Arabidopsis thaliana: one gene and its partners. The protein of the gene in region 2 interacts with the protein of the main gene of each other region in a pairwise test. Each region holds a gene or a part of one and is shown on either strand. Other genes may lie near its edges.

Region 1 (4,902 bases), on a different chromosome or scaffold from region 2:
CAACAAAAACAACAACTTCCTCTCTTATCGAGAAAACCAAAATTATAAGAAATGCTTTGTATCTAGCCAGAGCTTCTTGCAGAAAGACGTCATCATTATCTACATGAGCTCTTGAAACCTGCAACAAAGACACACAAACAAATTCGATTACAACAATGTGGTTTGGGACAAGAAGCTGACCATGATTTTACCTGATAGTAAAACGGGCCTTGTCTCTTGACAGCTGAAAGTCTGAAACAAGATCATAATATTTCTCAAGCGCTGAACTAACACAAGTAAGGGAATGGAAGTGAATACTTGTTCTATAGAGGTACCTTGTAATACTCCTCGTTTGAGCAGATGGGCTTTTGGAGGTTGGAATCAAAGGAAGCATCGGATTTGAGGGGGTTTACGAACATTCTCTTGGCTATTTCGAGTTGATTTCTCTTCCAAGTTGTGTCGTCTCCATTTTTGTTGTTACAGTGGCCGAGCTTTTTGTTTTCACAGCGATGGGTTTACATTGGTTTTGAAATTCAAATTGATCTCGGTTCGGTTTAATTTGGTTTAGAGAAGAAAACCAAAAAAAATACGACACGCGATGGGTTTTTGAGAATGAGGTGCGTGGATCCAAAAATGCATGATTTTTGTGGATTAACCCCTTTAGAAATCGTAGACACGCGCTCAACGCGACATGAGTGAGAGTGGCTGTGAAATAGCACGATTGGTAAAAGTGGGGTATGAAGTGGAGCTCTCTCATTGGCTAAAAATATAAAAATAGTAGGGGAGCTCCTCCTCTCATATATTGAAAACAATAACAAACACTTATAAATGTTCTGCATTTTCAGAGTAAATTTTATTGATTTCTGAATTTTTATTGATGTGCATAGATTTTGTTTCATATTTTGTGTACTTGTAGTTTATCAACACTTATGGATCATTCGAAATGTATACCAATCAGGGGAAACCTTCAAGAAGAAGATCAGAATCAAAGTATCCTCTGCCATGGAACAATTAGGCTTGTGTCAGGTTCACAAGGAGGCTATATGAGGTTGACACTGGATTATGATACTTTGAATGCTGCAATCAAGACTGGAATCATCTAAAAATATGAATCCTTCAGCTTCTTTAACCAGTAATACATATGTGGATTAACAATATAAATCCTTTGTTGAATAAAGGAAACAATTAAACGTTTGATTACATATAAGACTTTACATAATCCAACTTTTATATGAAGCTACTACAAACAAGATTCAAAGATTCCATCTAATCTTCAATCTTCATCTTCAACATCCTTCAATATCTCTCCACTTAAGATACACTAGCCCAGCTCTATAGTGCGTGAACGCACCAGCAACAACCAGAACATGAAACAACTGATGGCTATGTCCTGCTATATCGAATTTACCCGGCATCCATCTCTCTGGGATCCTAGTTGCATAAACCAGAGCTCCTAACCCATAAAGCAAACCCATCAAAATCTCATAACCTGTCGTGTGAAGGGCTTCAGGTTGGTCCCAAAAGATTATCAGCTTGTGAAGAATCGGAGCTAAGCCAGAGAATCCCATTCCAAAGAACAGAGACGCCCTCACCACCCGAAACTCCGGGCTTTGGAAAACCGGGAGGAGAGAAACAAGCACAGTGGCGATTCCTAAGATGGTTATGAATCCTAAGTAGAGGTTGCAGAAGAAAGGATCACACATGAAGGAGTAATAAACCGGAGGGTAGAAGGAAGTCGCTATTAGAGCTGCGATGCCGGCGTAATCAAGCCTAAGCATTATGTAGGAGACTCGCTCGGAGTGACATGAGAGGAGGTGGCACGTGCTGCTTGCTAATAGACAGAACATAGCACCACCTAGAAATGCATAAAACGGCCATCGAGTAATTGGCCTGAAGATCAAAGGAGCTATCAAGTTTGCAAGATCTTCCCTCACAGAATGCTGCAATGCAATTACAAAGATATGAACTTGGCCACATTTTGAAACAGTAATCTGCAGGAATAGAGAGAAAGATTGAGTCTTTTCTTACCAGAACACACATGTCAGTGTAGTTGCCATGAGAAAATCTTTCAGGCAAACAGTTATAAAGAAGGTCCATCACATGCCAACTAGATGGACTAGAAGGAAGGCGAGCCATGAGCTCAGAATGAAGTTTGTGGAGATCTGTTTTCCTCAACAAATCGGGTAAACGGTGTTGAAGCGAATGAAGATCCACGACACTCGGTACTTTCGTTGCAGTGTATATAGTGAGCGCCAAAAACAGGAAAAACCCAATCAAGTGCCTGCAAATCCCAAAGAACACACACACACAAACACACTCAAGGCTCTTGAACTTTAAACAAGGATACATCAAGAAACATGATTCAACACTTACGTCCAAACATTCAAAGTCTCATTATGAATGGTAAAGATGCTGAGAAGAATCTGTTTGATCGGCCATTCGGATCGGTAATGACCAATGATGTACTCATTGTCTCTTAAATAAGCAGGCAATGAATGAAACTCCACCAATTGATACTTGACTTTCTGCCATAACCTCTTCCCTTTCACATTATGTTTCTTGTCCATTGTTTCAGATGAAGCTTGTGGCTTTAAATGTTCCTTGATCTCTGCCTCATCACCCATTTTCTCTCTACTCATAAACAAACCAAACCCATAATATCAATCATACAGATCTAAATCTAGCTCAATCTGAATCATTCCAAGAAGTTAGGAATCAAAGTTTCAATTTTGAACGTTTATGCTAAATCTTGTTTTGTTCTGGATAATGAAAGTATCGATTTTTATATGCAGATTCAGCTCATTCATTACCTAAAGCTTCAATCCATAAATGGATTTGAGAAAATTACCTGAATTTCGAAAGACAAACCCTGTAAGATTTAAGAAATTGAGAGATAAGTAATTAAGAGAATTATGAGAATTTTTCTTCGATTTCGTGAAATTAGGAGAGAAAAGGTGAGATTTTGTTACCTGGATCTTCAATGCCGACGAGACAAAATCTTCTAAGAAAGATCTCTCTCTTTCTTAAAAGTCAATCAAAATAGATCTCAAGGTTTCGTTTTTGTCGAAAACAGAGAGTTCTTGTTTTGGTATGAAATCGAAGAAAGAAGAAAAAATAGAAGACGACGATGGAAGTGGAAGCTCTGAAGCCACAAAGCTTTATGAATTTTATATATTTTTATATATTTCAAATTGGGACCACTAGTTTTGTTTTGTTTATTAGTAGGACCCTTTTATTTTTCTTTATTTTCGTTTGGGCTAAGAATTTAATAGCTAGAGTATTTATTGTACGAGGATGGAAATACATCAAACAGAGAAAATGTTTTGTCGAAAATATTAACAAATATTTCTCCTATGAAATCAAGTCTTTCTCAAAAAAAAAAAAACTTATTTGATATGGGGAATTTAAATTAAGGGAAAATTAATTTAACATACCATATGAGAGCAAAAAATAAAAAATAAAATAATTGTGCTCCATGGATTCTTCTTATTAATGATTAAAATTTTCAATTAGGTGAAAAGGAAAAATTTATGATTGTGGCACATTTATTGCATTTAATCATCTTTCAACTAAAAATGGAGATGTCTATTTATGGTTTTGTTTATTTGGTCGGATTTCTTTTTTTTTTTTGTATAGAAAATATTGACAACGAATTGAATTTCAGTTCTAGTTTATGTTTGGATTTAATTTTAAAGCAAAAACTATCTATCGTTAAGAATTTTCCGAAATAAAGATTCACATTTCAGAAGATTTTTTTGTTTTGTTTCGAGTCGGTTTTGGTTATTTTCTTACATAAAATACACAGAATAATTCGAACCATAATATTGAATTGTTATTTTGGTTCACGTACGTTTACCGTTGGAGACTTTATAGCTCTTCGTTTATGCTTGTACGGATCAATAATCATGCATACTTAAGTATTTGGAAAGAAGAAGAAAAATAAAAGATTTTATCACAACATAAATAGTAACGTGAATTGGCATAAATGAATCGCAACAAACAGGTCGCAATCACAATGATAAAAATATCTACTGGCACTACTTCATAAGGAAGGATCTTGTAAGAATATTACTTTCGTTTTATTCGGATAAGCAGAAGATATTCGTTTTTTTTCTGGCTCGTTTTTTCACCTATTCAAGTTTTATGTCAATTTGGTTACGTACTCCAAATTGTGGCACTTGTAATTTGACACTCTTTATCAAAGTTATCACTTATCTTACTTGCCAACGAAACTAGTATCAGTATTCAGAGCCATTAATACAAATCAATCAAATCTTAGAGGAAGAACTAAAATGATGTACATAAATTGATGTTTTAGTTTTGCCAATTAGCATAAATAAATACTTTTAAGAATCTTTTCACATTTTTTCTCTAATAAAAGTGAAACATACACATTAAATCTTTTCACATTTTTTCTCTAATAAAAGTGAAACATACACATTAGAATCAGTTGTTCACCATATATAAAAAGGCTCGCCAAATTAAGATCTGGACATACTTAAAATGGGATTGGGCTGGTAAATATTCTAAAAACATTCCTTAAAAAGCCCACTCTGATAAGTCCGCGACTTCGAAACTCCGATGCAGACCGAAATTGGTTCTATAGTTTGGGAGAGAATGACCAGACCGGTTCAATCAATTTTCCTTCGATGGACCCAACCGAATAACTTCCATGTGGGGACACAACTTAAGCTTGTAACGACCAGACATTCAAAGAGTTCCGTCAAATAGTAATAGAGAAAGACTAAAGAAGAAAATATGGAAAAATAAACAATAAATAATAATAGAAAAAGACTATTGAAGAAAATATGGAAAAATAAACAATAAATAATAATAGAAAAAGACTATTGAAGAAAATATGGAAAAATAAACAATAAATAAAATACCTACTTACCGTGGGTCCCACTACGGTACTACTGCCGC
Region 2 (2,990 bases):
AAACTAATCAATTTCGCGTATATCATAAAGAAGCTCTACCCATAAACATTTACATCTGTAATCAACAACAACAAAAAAGAGAGAGAACTCAAGTAAAATAAATAAAACAATTTATAATTTTGAATGATTTTTTTCTTAAATCTGGTACTAATTAAATTAATATTTAAAGTTAGTATATTTTGTATATGTATTGTAATATTTGTATATTTTCTAAAGCAAGATTTTTTGTCAAGTTTATTCATTATTTCTGACAAATATGTGATGCTGACAAGCAATTGAAAAAAAAAAATCTTGCTTCAGAAAATTTTGAATGCTTTTAGATTCACTATATTTCTGCTGGTGAAAAATTCCATTAAAGTTTCACTCATTTTTTGTTATAAAGGTAATGTTTTTCTTTTTTTAGTATATAGATTGATTATTTCAAATACAAACTAAGTGATGTTGATATATGTTATATAGTATATCTATGTAATTATTTGTTAGTTATAATTGTGAATTTTAGATATAAGAAATAAGCTAAATGGTGTTTTTTAATTAACTTGAATAGTATGAACTCATATTTAGTGAAAATGGGAATAGCTCTCAAAATAAGCATAACATGCTGCTTTTTTAAATAGAACATATTTGCTAAAGAAAGATGCATGCAGGAACTACATAAAAACGAGATCATGTAAACAGAAATGCTTCATTAGTGGAAAGACAGAAAATTAACTACAGCATAAGAATATTACATTATAAGTTAAAAAGTTGTAATATCATATTAAAACTCTCCCAAAAATGTTACATTACACATTTTTTTTTGCATTCTTCTATGGTCAGTGTCAGTGATGCCTCGGGTCAGGACCACCGGGACTAAGCCGCTTTGAGTCAAGAGTATTTCCAAGGATCGTCTCTTCGCCTTCTGATCTCCCCTTCATCTCTTTTAACCTCTCAAAAAGTTCACGTCTTATCTTTTTCAAACGACTTGAACCAGAAAATCTCTCTTCGGCAACCAATGGTCGACATTCGTGCACCGATGTCAATTCGAGTACTAGAAGCAGGACCAAACAAACCCATAACTTGAGACTTGCCATATATATGTAACTTCCTCTTAGTTCTTAAAGGTGAGATATATAGTCTTTGAAGATTTTAAGGGGGTGATCTCCATATATAAGCTCAATAGCTACGGTATTTATAGAGAAGCTAAAGTCCTAATTAACGTCCATCTATGCAGAAATTAAATACGTTAATTAAGTTGGAATCTAGTCATATCTACCTAGCTAGTCCCTTCTTATATATCTCTTAATATTTATTTTTGAAAGGTCGTCATCACTTGATTGCATTTGCCTCTATTTTTAGTGGGAACGTAGTAAGTGACGTAATGTATAATTTCTGTTAGTTAAAAATTGTAAAACGAATGGAAGAAAACAAAATTATGTCTATATTGAATGACATGCATAGCTAACTGATTTCACTTGAAATAGAAACTTAAAAGCTAATAATATTTAATTGGGAGATTATTTTTTAAAAAACTCACAATTCATATTCCATAAACTAAAACATAAATTAAAAGCAATTTGAGTATTGTAGTAATTCTACCGAACCCAAATGTATATAGGATATGTGGAAAATCATTATCGTCGTTTGGTTGATGGAGCCAAATGGATATAACCAATGAAGATAAGGCATGACGTTTTCAGAGTTGGCAATGCACATAAAATAAGGTGGAGGAGACCAATCTAAAACCTTAAACGATGTATATATTAATCCACCAGGGCCTTAACTATATATTTTGTAGCTTTATTCTATGTATAATAAGTATAAGTGGTTGCCGCCACGTCCACTTCGATTTGTAAAGAGCACGTCAACGTAAAAAGCTGATTATGGAAGCATGAAATAGACGAAAATAGTAAAGCACAACAAATCTTTGAGACAAGTAGTGACGTTTGACGAATTAACCGATTTTCATTGGAGTAAAATAAGTCGTCTGTGTGCACTAAATTAAATTATGAAGAAAAACTTACTTATATCTAGATAGGTTTGTGCCATTGACCTGGTTTATCTTTAAATTTAGCATTTTTGAAGAATCAAATCTTAGTTATGCAGAAAACTCTTTGCGGAAATAGGATCTGGATCGTACGTTCTCTGTATCATATGTATAATTACTAATCATATAGACAACAAACTATGAGATCATCTTATAAATGATAGTGTCATAACCTAGTTCAGTTTCCCATAATCCAATAGTAGTTTACAATTTTACAAAAATTTGTGAACATTTCCTGTCAACTATTTGCGAGTCATGTGTGAGTGTGACCATGTGGACTGTTGAGTTCATTAAAATCTCTCAACTTACAACGTAAATTTGACACATCAATTACAAAACTGATCCACATTTTCTTGTTCTCCTTTCACATATATAGAGAAGAGAAGATACTACTACTAGTCCTGAATCACGATTTATATGAAAAAAGTGCAGAGATCATCAAATCATCTGCAGATGGAGATCGCCTGTTTGCTGGGCAAGCTCTACCATCATCGCTTCATCAAAGAATTTATTTCCGCTGACGTCTTCGCTCATTCCCTGCATAACCAACAAATTATACATATCGTGAGAGTCTGAAACTGATGATCCAAACACCCAACGAGTCATACAATATAACTAGCCTAGGATGTATCCAGCAAATTATAGCTGGTGTTACTTGGTTAAAGAGTAATTAGCAAGGGCCGGGTTTGTAAACAGTAGTTTCGGGGATCCTTTGGTTTGTGAGGGTTTACTGGGGTCATTTAACCAAACACTAGAGTAACAAATCAGTTTATGGTTTCATTCGTATCTTTAACCGCATGAAACCCACTAAGTTTTGGGATGTGCATTGAAACAAAGGAAATCATAATACCTTTCTACGGCGGGTCTTGACCATGAATTCCCGAGCTAGATGCTGAATAGGAGCGGGCTCAAGTGGGCGCAACTGGATGGCTTTGTCTAGAGGGTCTCCTGGCACAATGGCCCA
Region 3 (3,867 bases), on a different chromosome or scaffold from region 2:
ATATGGGATTATGGAACGCCACTTTTACTCCCTCTACAAAGATGCAGTACACAATGAGCAGAGAGATGGAAGCCTTTAGTCCTCAAAGGTTTCTGCTGACACCTTTTCTTATCCTGTGAGTTGATGTTCTGCTTCGTCCGTTTGTTCTTCAGTTTAAAACACACTTTCTTACCATTTCAGAATGTGTGGGGAGAAGTTTTCACCGAGATGGAACCCAATCGCGCGTTGCATTAGTCGTTCACATTCTGAAATCACAGGTAATAACCAGCTAATTGTTTGGAATTGTGGAAATTTGACATAACGTTTAATATAATACTTATGGTTTAATCTTTTCTAGGGGTTGCCCATGACGATGCTCCATTTGTTTCTCTGATGGACATCCTGACCTATCACAATGTAATGTATCCAAAAACCTTGGATTTATCATAAGTTGTAGGAAAAGAGTATAGTGAAAACTTTCTTGAATTGATGTTTTACTGATGCTTATTATGCAGGTGACTGCTAAATTCAGGTGTGTTGTTCGGTTCATACAAGTGTATCCCCGAGACGTCAGAAAACTCCGTGATATCAACGGAAATATCAAATTGGTAGCTATACTAGAAGATGCAACCGCCAGAATCCATGCTTCTCTATATGCTGATGAAGGGGTAAGTAAAACACGATTAATTATTAGTGTTCATTGAAGGATTGTCTAATACTTATATCTGTATATCTTTTTACAGGAAAAGTTTTTCGGGTGTGACGAATCTGATGAAGAGGCTCTAGTCAAGAAGCTGAATAGATTGTTGGGAGGTGAAGAGATGGAGAAAGTGCCAAGAAATCCTCCATGGGTACAATGTTGCTTGTTCTCATTCTACAAACACAAAATGGATCAGTGGGAAAGCAGAAGATTCCGCATTTTTGATACTTGGATCAATGCTTCATGAGACAATCATAATGCTAATTGTATAGTTATTAGCATTAAACAAAATGTGATTATTTATTTACATGGAACCATACAATAAAACATTACATAAGAAAAATATCTCTCTCCAACGATATGTATGGAAGATAATAAAGCAAAACAATCTAAAATAAGAATCAATAAACAAGTGTAATATGATGAACTCGAAGAAGACTATAATAGCATTGACTCTTGACTAGCAATCAAAAGTCAACGTCACACTTGGTCGGCTGAAAAACAAACCCGCTGGTTGAATTAGAGGTAAGAGGAACCTTGAGATCGCACTTGATCTTGGGCTTGAACCTCCACGACTTGATCAACCCAAACTTAAACCTAATCTTAAGTCTCAGCTTGGCATCGATCCTATAGATCTGAGAATTCACATCCTCGTTCAAATCCTTCCTCTCTCCGCCGTCAAGCAGCACCAATTGCTGTCCCACGAGTTTAGTTCCAACCACCGTCGTGTTCTTATGTCCCTGGTAAAACTTCGAGATGTTGTTACTCATACCGAATCGCTGATCACCGTAGTATCCTCTGACTTCGATTTCATCATAGTAAACACCGATCCGGCGGTTAGGGTTACGGATTGTGAAATTGAGATCGAGATTGTATCGGAGGTTGTTGGTTGGGTCGAGTGTGAATTCGGTGAGTTTAGCGTCGGTGACGTGGAATTTGATAGCGTTGGGTCTGAAAATGAGCCAGATGATTAGAGCAGCTATGCCTAATAAGACGGCTATGGTTATGAGGATGTTGAAGATGACGCTTAAGATACAGCAGCCGCAGCAGCCAAGACAGTCACCTAAACAACCGCATCCACCGCCGCGTCTGCCGTGGCTGTGAGAGACTTTCTTCGGCGGTGGAATCGATGGTCCGTAATACGCACCGTTTAAGTCCGCCATCTGTTCGTTAAAATGCCTCAGAGAACGATTTTGAAAGAAAGTTTTTTTTGGTTTGTGATAAGATTTTGAAAAAGTAAATATGATTTGAAGTGAAGAAGAAGAGGCCGTAATATATATACACTGTAGAGATAACGTGTATTAGATAAAACGATTTAATTTGACGCGGTTTTGTTTTTTCAAAGTCAAAGGTGACGCGTCGGTTTAATATTGTTCGATGAAAATTTGATTTAAGTAGAGGTTACTTGCGAGATTGTTATTAGATATTTAGGATTAACAGTTTGATATACATTAAAGATTGTTTCTTAAATTTTACTATATGGTTTCTTCTTCAATTTGACTATGTATACTTTGGTTAAGCTTAATGAGATTATTTCTTGAATCCATATATACATGATTTGGTGATTAATGAGGTTAGTGCCGATCGCATACAAGAATATCCATATGTAGATATTTATTTATATATTCTTTTATTATATAAGACATGTGAGAATGTGATGATACTTAGTGCGGTAGTTAGTTTGTGAATTGTGAATAGTCATTTTTACAATGTAACTAAGCTTCCGAGAAACTTCCCCAAAAGCGACTGCTCTAATATAGCCATTGTTTCTTAAACTTGACGAAAGACTTTTGAGAACAAAAATAGAAAATGTGGCCAAAATATCAATAAGCCTATACAAAGTTAGAAAAAGACAAACCAGTCCCGGTCAAGAATTTCGACATTATATATATAACATGATGAAATGAAATAACTTTGATCTATAGGTTGCAAGTTGAAACTGAGGTGGGGTTTTCCAAATGTTTATTTTATAACTATGAGAACAGTTCTACTGATAAAGGTTATTTAATTAATTATCAATTAATGAAAATGTTTAATGTGAAAGATTTCTCAAATTCAAAGAAAATTAAACATTGCAAAGACTTGTTAATGTTATAATGCTAAAAGCAAGGAAAACTAAGGGAGGTTGGTGTTTAGAGTTGGATGATGTGACCTGTAATTGAAAGGAAGATTAGGTGAAGCCATGCTTTCAAATGTTTACATCTTTCTTCAATGAGAAAGGTCAAGCATATTTAATAAAGAATAATAATACTAGATCGCAACTCAATCATATTAAACTTTAAAACAACTATGGAGGATTTATAAAAACAAATGTAACAACTAAAAAAAGTATTCTTATAATATGAGATGTAATGTGTTTTATTTATTTATTAAAGTAGTCAATGTAGTTTAAGAAATTTTTATGTGTTATACGGTATAACAATAATTTTCATTGTATATGATAAGTAATACACAATAATTTTAAAGAAAAACCTGGTGATGAACAAACGTGTTTGAAAAACTTGTTAGAGTTTAATGCGGTGTCAATGTGTGTGGTGATAAAACATTAAACTAAATTAGACAACAAATATTTCACGAAGACTCCTTCAATCTTAGCCGTTTGGACGAAATAGATCATTGGAATTGGACAAATAAATGATGAAGACTTTGGTTGTTCTTAGGGTTTTGAAAATGGAGGAACCGACGACCGATCCCTATCTACTCAATTCCGATATTCATCCGAATAAATTATTGAGAAATTGCGTTGAATAGATGTCCACTAAAGTTTAAATGGACATATATCTAAGGAAGTAACATATAGGGTATACTTTTCATGTAATCTATTACTAATTCTAATTTGGTGGTTGTCACCATAATTTTGTGTTGTTAATCATTGTTAAAATCTGGAATACAATACGACTCGAAAGTCGAAACTGTATCGTGTTAACCAGTGGACCAATGATACAACTCCATGATTCATTTTACTTACGTTATCCTTTGGTTATGAATGTTTATTCTATGTTTTGGTTATGAATTTCTCTAGATGAACAAAATCGAATCTTTATGTATATATTCAAGTCTTGATCATTTACACGCTTAATAAAATGTATGACTTCAAAAAGGCAAAAAGGGAAGGTTATGTAGACAATTGTGTGTTTTTATCATCTGCTTTTTTACAGTATAACTTCGGTTCCAAACTAGGATTGTAT
Region 4 (5,476 bases), 5.5 Mb from region 2:
AGTATACTTACTCTCCTCTGTTTTTGACGCCTACTTTAAATTCTAGTGTTTTTTCTTCTCGAGTTGTTTTGTTTTTCTTTATAATTAAGCACAATGATATATTAATGTCGTATGGAATCATATTTATGAACTCTAGGTAGTTTTTCTAATACCTAATCAGCTACTGGTTAGCATATAAAAATATAGGAGAATTGTGAACATGAGTATATATGGATGATCTACAAGGATATCAATGTTTTTGAATGTCATGTTTTGATATTCTGGTTATGTTTATAAAGACAAAAGGAGATAAACAATAAAGAATTAAACAATATACTTTTTAACAAACAAAATTTATCAGCGGCCAGCTTCAATGTCAAGCAATGCTACATTCTTGACGCTGTCATAACCACGGCTATTGGTATCGCCTTGGGAAGACACGATGTTGCTACCAAGCAAGTGTAAATTCTCCTCTCGATACTGATCCGACCAATTATGTTTGGTTGTTTTGACGCTCAAAGTTTCTAGCTCTACAGCTACTTCTTTCATCCTTGGCCTTTCTTTTCCCATTAGCCTTGTACACTCTGCAGCAATTCTTGCAGCTTCCTGGATCTCCTTCAGATTATCCTCGTTCAACACTTGGTCGTCAATAATCTCATGCAACCTATTCTCTTCCGTGGCAGAAACAAAGTAACTCACCAAATGTTTTGAAGCCTGTGGCCGTTCAAAGCACAATGCCTTTTGACCTGAGAGCAGTTCCATGAGGACTACCCCAAAGCTATACACATCGCTCTTCTCGTTCAGAAGCCCTGTGGTATAGTATTCTGGGTCTAAATAGCCTAGAGTGCCTTGCACCATAGTATACCAAGTAAAGGAAAATATGAACATGATTATTGATGATGAACAAACAAGCTCTCAAAGCATATTGATGAAGCAACAAATAAGTGGTTTTCTTTTTTTACAAACAAAAGAGATACATGTGATTTTGTGAGCAATATCAGCGGCCAGTTTCAATGTCCAATATTGCTACATTTTTGATGCTATCATAGCCAATGCTGCTACTGGTTTCGCCTTGTGCAGACAAGATGTGACCACCAATCAAGTGTTCATTCTCCTCAGGATACTGATCCGACCACTTATGTTTGGTTTTCTCGACCCTCAAGGCTTCTAGCTTTGCAGCTACTTCTTTCATCCTTGGCCTTTCCTCTCCCATTAGCCTTGTACACTCTGCAGCAATTCTTGCAGCTTCCTGGATCTCCTTCAGATTATCCTCGTTCAACACTTGGTCGTCAATAATCTCATGCAACCTATTCTCTTCCGTGGCAGAAACAAAGTAACTCACCAAATGTTTTGAAGCCTGTGGCCGTTCAAAGCACAATGCCTTTTGACCTGAGAGCAGTTCCATGAGGACTACCCCAAAGCTATACACATCGCTCTTCTCGTTCAGAAGCCCTGTGGTATAGTATTCTGGGTCTAAATAGCCTAGAGTGCCTTGCACCATAGTTGTGAGCTGCTCTTTATCCATTGGTATAAGCTTAGAAGCGCCAAAGTCGGCTACTTTTGCAGTTAAGTTTTCATCCAAGAGAATATTTGCAGTTTTGATATCGCGATGGATGATTGGAATAGAAGCAGAGGAGTGAAGATAAGCAAGAGTTCCAGCGACTTCTATCGCTATTCTGAGGCGGTGTTCCCATGTAAGAGAAGAATCAAAAATGGAACCGTGCAAGTGATCGAAAAGGGTGCCATTGGTAATGAATTCATAGACCAACAAGGGGACTTCAGTCTCTAGACAGCAACCCAAGATCTTGACCACGTTCCTGTGGTTAATTTGTGAAAGCACGAGCACTTCGTGGATGAACTGATCTACTTGTCTACTGTCTGCAAGCCGAGCTTTCTTTATAGCAACGATAGTGTTGTCCGGCAATATCCCTTTGTAGACTGTTCCTTGACCTCCCTGGCCCAAGATTCTGCTCTCATCATAGCCATTAGTTGCCTCTTTCATGCCTTCCTCAGTAAAGATTTTGAAATCAATGTTTGACAACCCTGCTCCTGAAAGTCGCTGTATCAACATGCCACCACCATTTTGCTCAAAGAATTGTCGTCGGAGCTTGGTATACTTCCTTTGCTTCGTTGCATGTTGTATACAGATCGCAGCAAGCAGGAGGACCAAGACGCCGATTATGATTACTGATAACATCATGCATAGATGATTAGAGCGAGTTGATTTAAAGAGAATCTAGAACCAGTGAAGAGTGTTTACCAAGAAAAATTCGAGTCCGTTTGTATTCGGGCCTCGTGCAGCTCATACTGGAGTTTAAGTCGTAACCAGATGGACACTTACAATCGAAGCCTCCATCCCTGTTTCTACAGGTTTTTGGATCCGAACAGTTATGTGTATCACTAATACACTCATCGATGTCTGACCAAAGGAATAAGTGCACAAGATGCAACCAAAAACGTATGAGGAAGATTATAAACACTCAAAAGAAGAAAGAAAGCAAAGAAATTAATATGAAGTACCTTTGCAACCCTCTGAACGGTATGGATTCCCATCATAACCTTCATTACATTTGCAGATATACCCGTTTCTAGTAGTAGAATTGTAACATGAGCTGTTCTTACCGCATATTCTTGTGCTTCCAGCTTGCTCACATGTCTGGTTTCCAATAGACCAATCTAGTGCCACAGGGAACCTCGTGACATTCCTCAGATTCTTAAGATCTTTTGAAGAATCGAAGTTAAACTTACCATCTTCAACGAGAAAAGCGTAGGTGCAAGGATTAAACTGATATACCGAAGTATTAAATAGATCTAAGGAATTATTAACTTGGTTTCTCAAGCGAACTGAGCCAAATTGGAATGTATCGCTATCGAACGGGACAGAGAAGTCCTCTGTTGTGCAGCAACCTACACCATTACATCTTCCATTTGCCTCTGGTTGAGAATTGCATAATGACAAGCATCCAGTTGAGTAGTTTTGCTTTCCAAAAGTGCTCAAAAGTGATAAAGCGTTACATCCTACTAAAGTAAACTTGTTGTTGGAGGAGAGAGAGAAACTACTACCCAGCTGATACCCGAGGGCAGTTCCATTAGTCTCATTTTTCTGCTCGTAGCATTCAGAGAATCGTTCAAACAGTACACTTACATGGCCACTGTGAGAAATATTGGTCACTTGAATGATGCCAAAGAGTAGTAGCTTCTCTTCCACGACACAGGTGAGATTGAAATTATCATCTCCGGGATAGTAACAACCTGTAGAAATACCAAAAGGGTACTCTATTGTGACGTTTCCACATTTAAGTTTACAATCTTCGCGAGGTTGATGTTGCCCCTTCACAAGCTGAGTATATGCAAGGAAGAAAATAACCACCAAGAACACACCCTCCTGGAACTTCATCTTCTACCTTTCTCTTTCTTTCTCTCTAAACTTGTTTCTCTTTGAGTTTTCTCTCATCGCTTATTCGCTTCTTATAGCTTGAAAAGTAACCCCTGATTTGACATTGTTGAATAATCAAATGTGAAGAAAAGTAAAGATTCAGACTACTAGACGTTAGAAAAATATAAATGCGTCAACTTCTTTATCTGTCCTTTCTTTCTTGTCTTGATTTTTCCAGGAAACTCCAATTTATTGTTCATATATGAAAGTCTCGTTATAGTGACAATGTAGGAATAAGACTCATCATGATCACAACATGCTCTGTTTTCTTCTGCTGTCGTAATAGTAGAAATATGTAGTTTTTTTGTGTGTGTGTGTGTGTTGAGTTTATAAATGTCAACAAGTTTTCGAAGAATTTGAATAGTTCTTGCCTCATGTGTCATGTCGCTGCTTACTCTTCAAGAGGTTATCTATGAGAAATTTCCATGCAAATCCACCACTTTGTTAGAAACTGAATCTCCTTCTAGAAACAGAACAGAGTTAAGAACAGAGAAAGAGAATCAGACTTTGTATCACAATTGGTTTGATCGTCAACATAACAATAAAGAGAAGAACTTGTCTTTCTATTATAGAGAAAGTGAAATACAACAACTGTTTTACAAGGTTTACAACAATTAACTTAAATACAAACCAACAGACATGAAAAGTCAAGAGTTATGACTCTTCTTTCTTGTGACACAACAAACATAACTACTTTAACTTAACAGACACGACACTTAAGTAATATATTACAAACCAAACTCAATTACGACCAGCACTCTTTCACCGAAAGAAACCAGATTCATTCAAAGAAACTGAGGGAAAATCTTGAGAAAAAACTGAAAATACACTGTTTGATGATTAAAATAATCTTTGACAGACCAGACTTAGAGATTTTAAGGGTATAGTAGAGGTAGCTTTCTCAATTTACTAAAGATCAGAGTTTTAACAAAAAAGGAAAATTTGATGGTTACAAAACCACAACAATCTTATGCAGCAAGAATGATAATTTAATTTAGAAAACGCAGTATTAAAATTTTAATAACAGAGCAATATATGAGTCAAGTTGTTTATCAAATAGTCAAGTTGTTCTTTCATACTTTCAAAGCCTTGTATCAAAAACGTTATTTTTCTTGAATATAATTTAACATTACATTCAAAAAAAAAAAAAAAAAAAAAATGTCAAGTTGTTCTTTTGGAGTTACGTACATACCACGCATCTTAAGTTAGAGATTTCTCGTTTACTAGTTTTTACTTCTCATGTAGTTGTGCATATGTTTGTTTATTACTGATCTAATTCCAAAATCATATGTTAACTTGTTTACATTTTTGTCTTCGTCTTGTTGCTCGTGGATATATATAATTGCATCTTTGTAATCATTTCATCATAATATCGATCACGTTGACGGAGAGTGCTTTTCTAGAATCCACCAAATTTTCTCATGTTTTCACTATATATATTACTTATGGTTAAAGATCATAAATTTTTAACAAAATAAGAAAACTTGATGGCTTCAAAACCAGAGCAATCTTATGCAGCAAGAATGATTTTGTTAATTTAGAAAACGCAGTATTAAATTATAGATGCCAGTACCAAAACAATATATGAGTCAAGCTGTGGATCAAATAGGATGTTTTAAGCAACTGAGCCCTTTAAATTCGAGTTATTGTTTTGCAACCACAACAGTATATCAATATCTCTGCTAGTAGATTCATGAATTCTTAATTTTTCTCATACCGAATCGTCTACTGGTTAGCTTACCAATCGAATGGAGTTATAAAATGAATAATTGATGATCTACAACGGATCTCTCGAGCATAAATGTTCTTGAATATCATGTTTTGATACTCTGTTTTTTTTGAAGTGTTAGGAAACATATAGGACATAAGCAATAAATAAGTGGCTTTACTTTTTCACAAACAAAAGATTGATAAATATCAGCGGCCAGTTTCAATGTCCAACCTTGTTACATTCTGGATGCTGTCATAGCCAATGCTACTGGTATCACCTTGCGTCGATAAGATTTGAACACCAAGCAAATGCTCAACCTCCTTGGGATATTGATCTGACCACTGATGTTT

Evidence for each region.
Region 1: the proteins of CLE3 (region 2) and HHP4 interact in a protein complementation assay, tested with the Arabidopsis thaliana proteins (one large-scale study listed by BioGRID).
Region 3: the proteins of CLE3 (region 2) and NHL3 interact in a protein complementation assay, tested with the Arabidopsis thaliana proteins (one large-scale study listed by BioGRID).
Region 4: the proteins of CLE3 (region 2) and WAK3 interact in a protein complementation assay, tested with the Arabidopsis thaliana proteins (one large-scale study listed by BioGRID).

The regions. Positions count from the first base shown.
Region 1 is NC_003075.7:17,698,932-17,703,833, reverse strand, and holds HHP4 (heptahelical protein 4), read right to left. Parts: upstream 3,201-4,902; 5' UTR 2,949-3,200; intron 2,849-2,948; exon of another isoform or gene 2,828-2,848; 5' UTR 2,619-2,827; coding exon 2,353-2,618; intron 2,261-2,352; coding exon 2,008-2,260; intron 1,920-2,007; coding exon 1,266-1,919; 3' UTR 882-1,265; downstream 1-881. Other genes in the region: AT4G37682 (hypothetical protein (DUF1399)), read right to left, coding at 1-118, 192-231, 315-373. UniProt on the Arabidopsis thaliana protein: May play a role in abiotic stress response.
Region 2 is NC_003070.9:1,904,058-1,907,047, reverse strand, and holds CLE3 (CLAVATA3/ESR-RELATED 3), read right to left. Parts: upstream 1,131-2,990; 5' UTR 1,074-1,130; coding exon 822-1,073; 3' UTR 750-821; downstream 1-749. Other genes in the region: MEE5 (Ribosomal protein S5/Elongation factor G/III/V family protein), read right to left, coding at 2,465-2,563, 2,877-2,990.
Region 3 is NC_003076.8:1,929,870-1,933,736, forward strand, and holds NHL3 (NDR1/HIN1-like 3), read right to left. Parts: upstream 1,900-3,867; 5' UTR 1,843-1,899; coding exon 1,147-1,842; 3' UTR 927-1,146; downstream 1-926. Other genes in the region: AtPOT1b (Nucleic acid-binding, OB-fold-like protein), read left to right, coding at 1-88, 181-257, 338-396, 495-647, 723-926. UniProt on the Arabidopsis thaliana protein: Confers resistance to Pseudomonas syringae pv. tomato DC3000 (Pst DC3000).
Region 4 is NC_003070.9:7,432,203-7,437,678, reverse strand, and holds WAK3 (wall associated kinase 3), read right to left. Parts: upstream 3,445-5,476; 5' UTR 3,377-3,444; coding exon 2,500-3,376; intron 2,399-2,499; coding exon 2,240-2,398; intron 2,167-2,239; coding exon 977-2,166; 3' UTR 849-976; downstream 1-848. Other genes in the region: AT1G21245 (Protein kinase superfamily protein), read right to left, coding at 337-837; WAK5 (wall associated kinase 5), read right to left, coding at 5,333-5,476. UniProt on the Arabidopsis thaliana protein: Serine/threonine-protein kinase that may function as a signaling receptor of extracellular matrix component. Binding to pectin may have significance in the control of cell expansion, morphogenesis and development.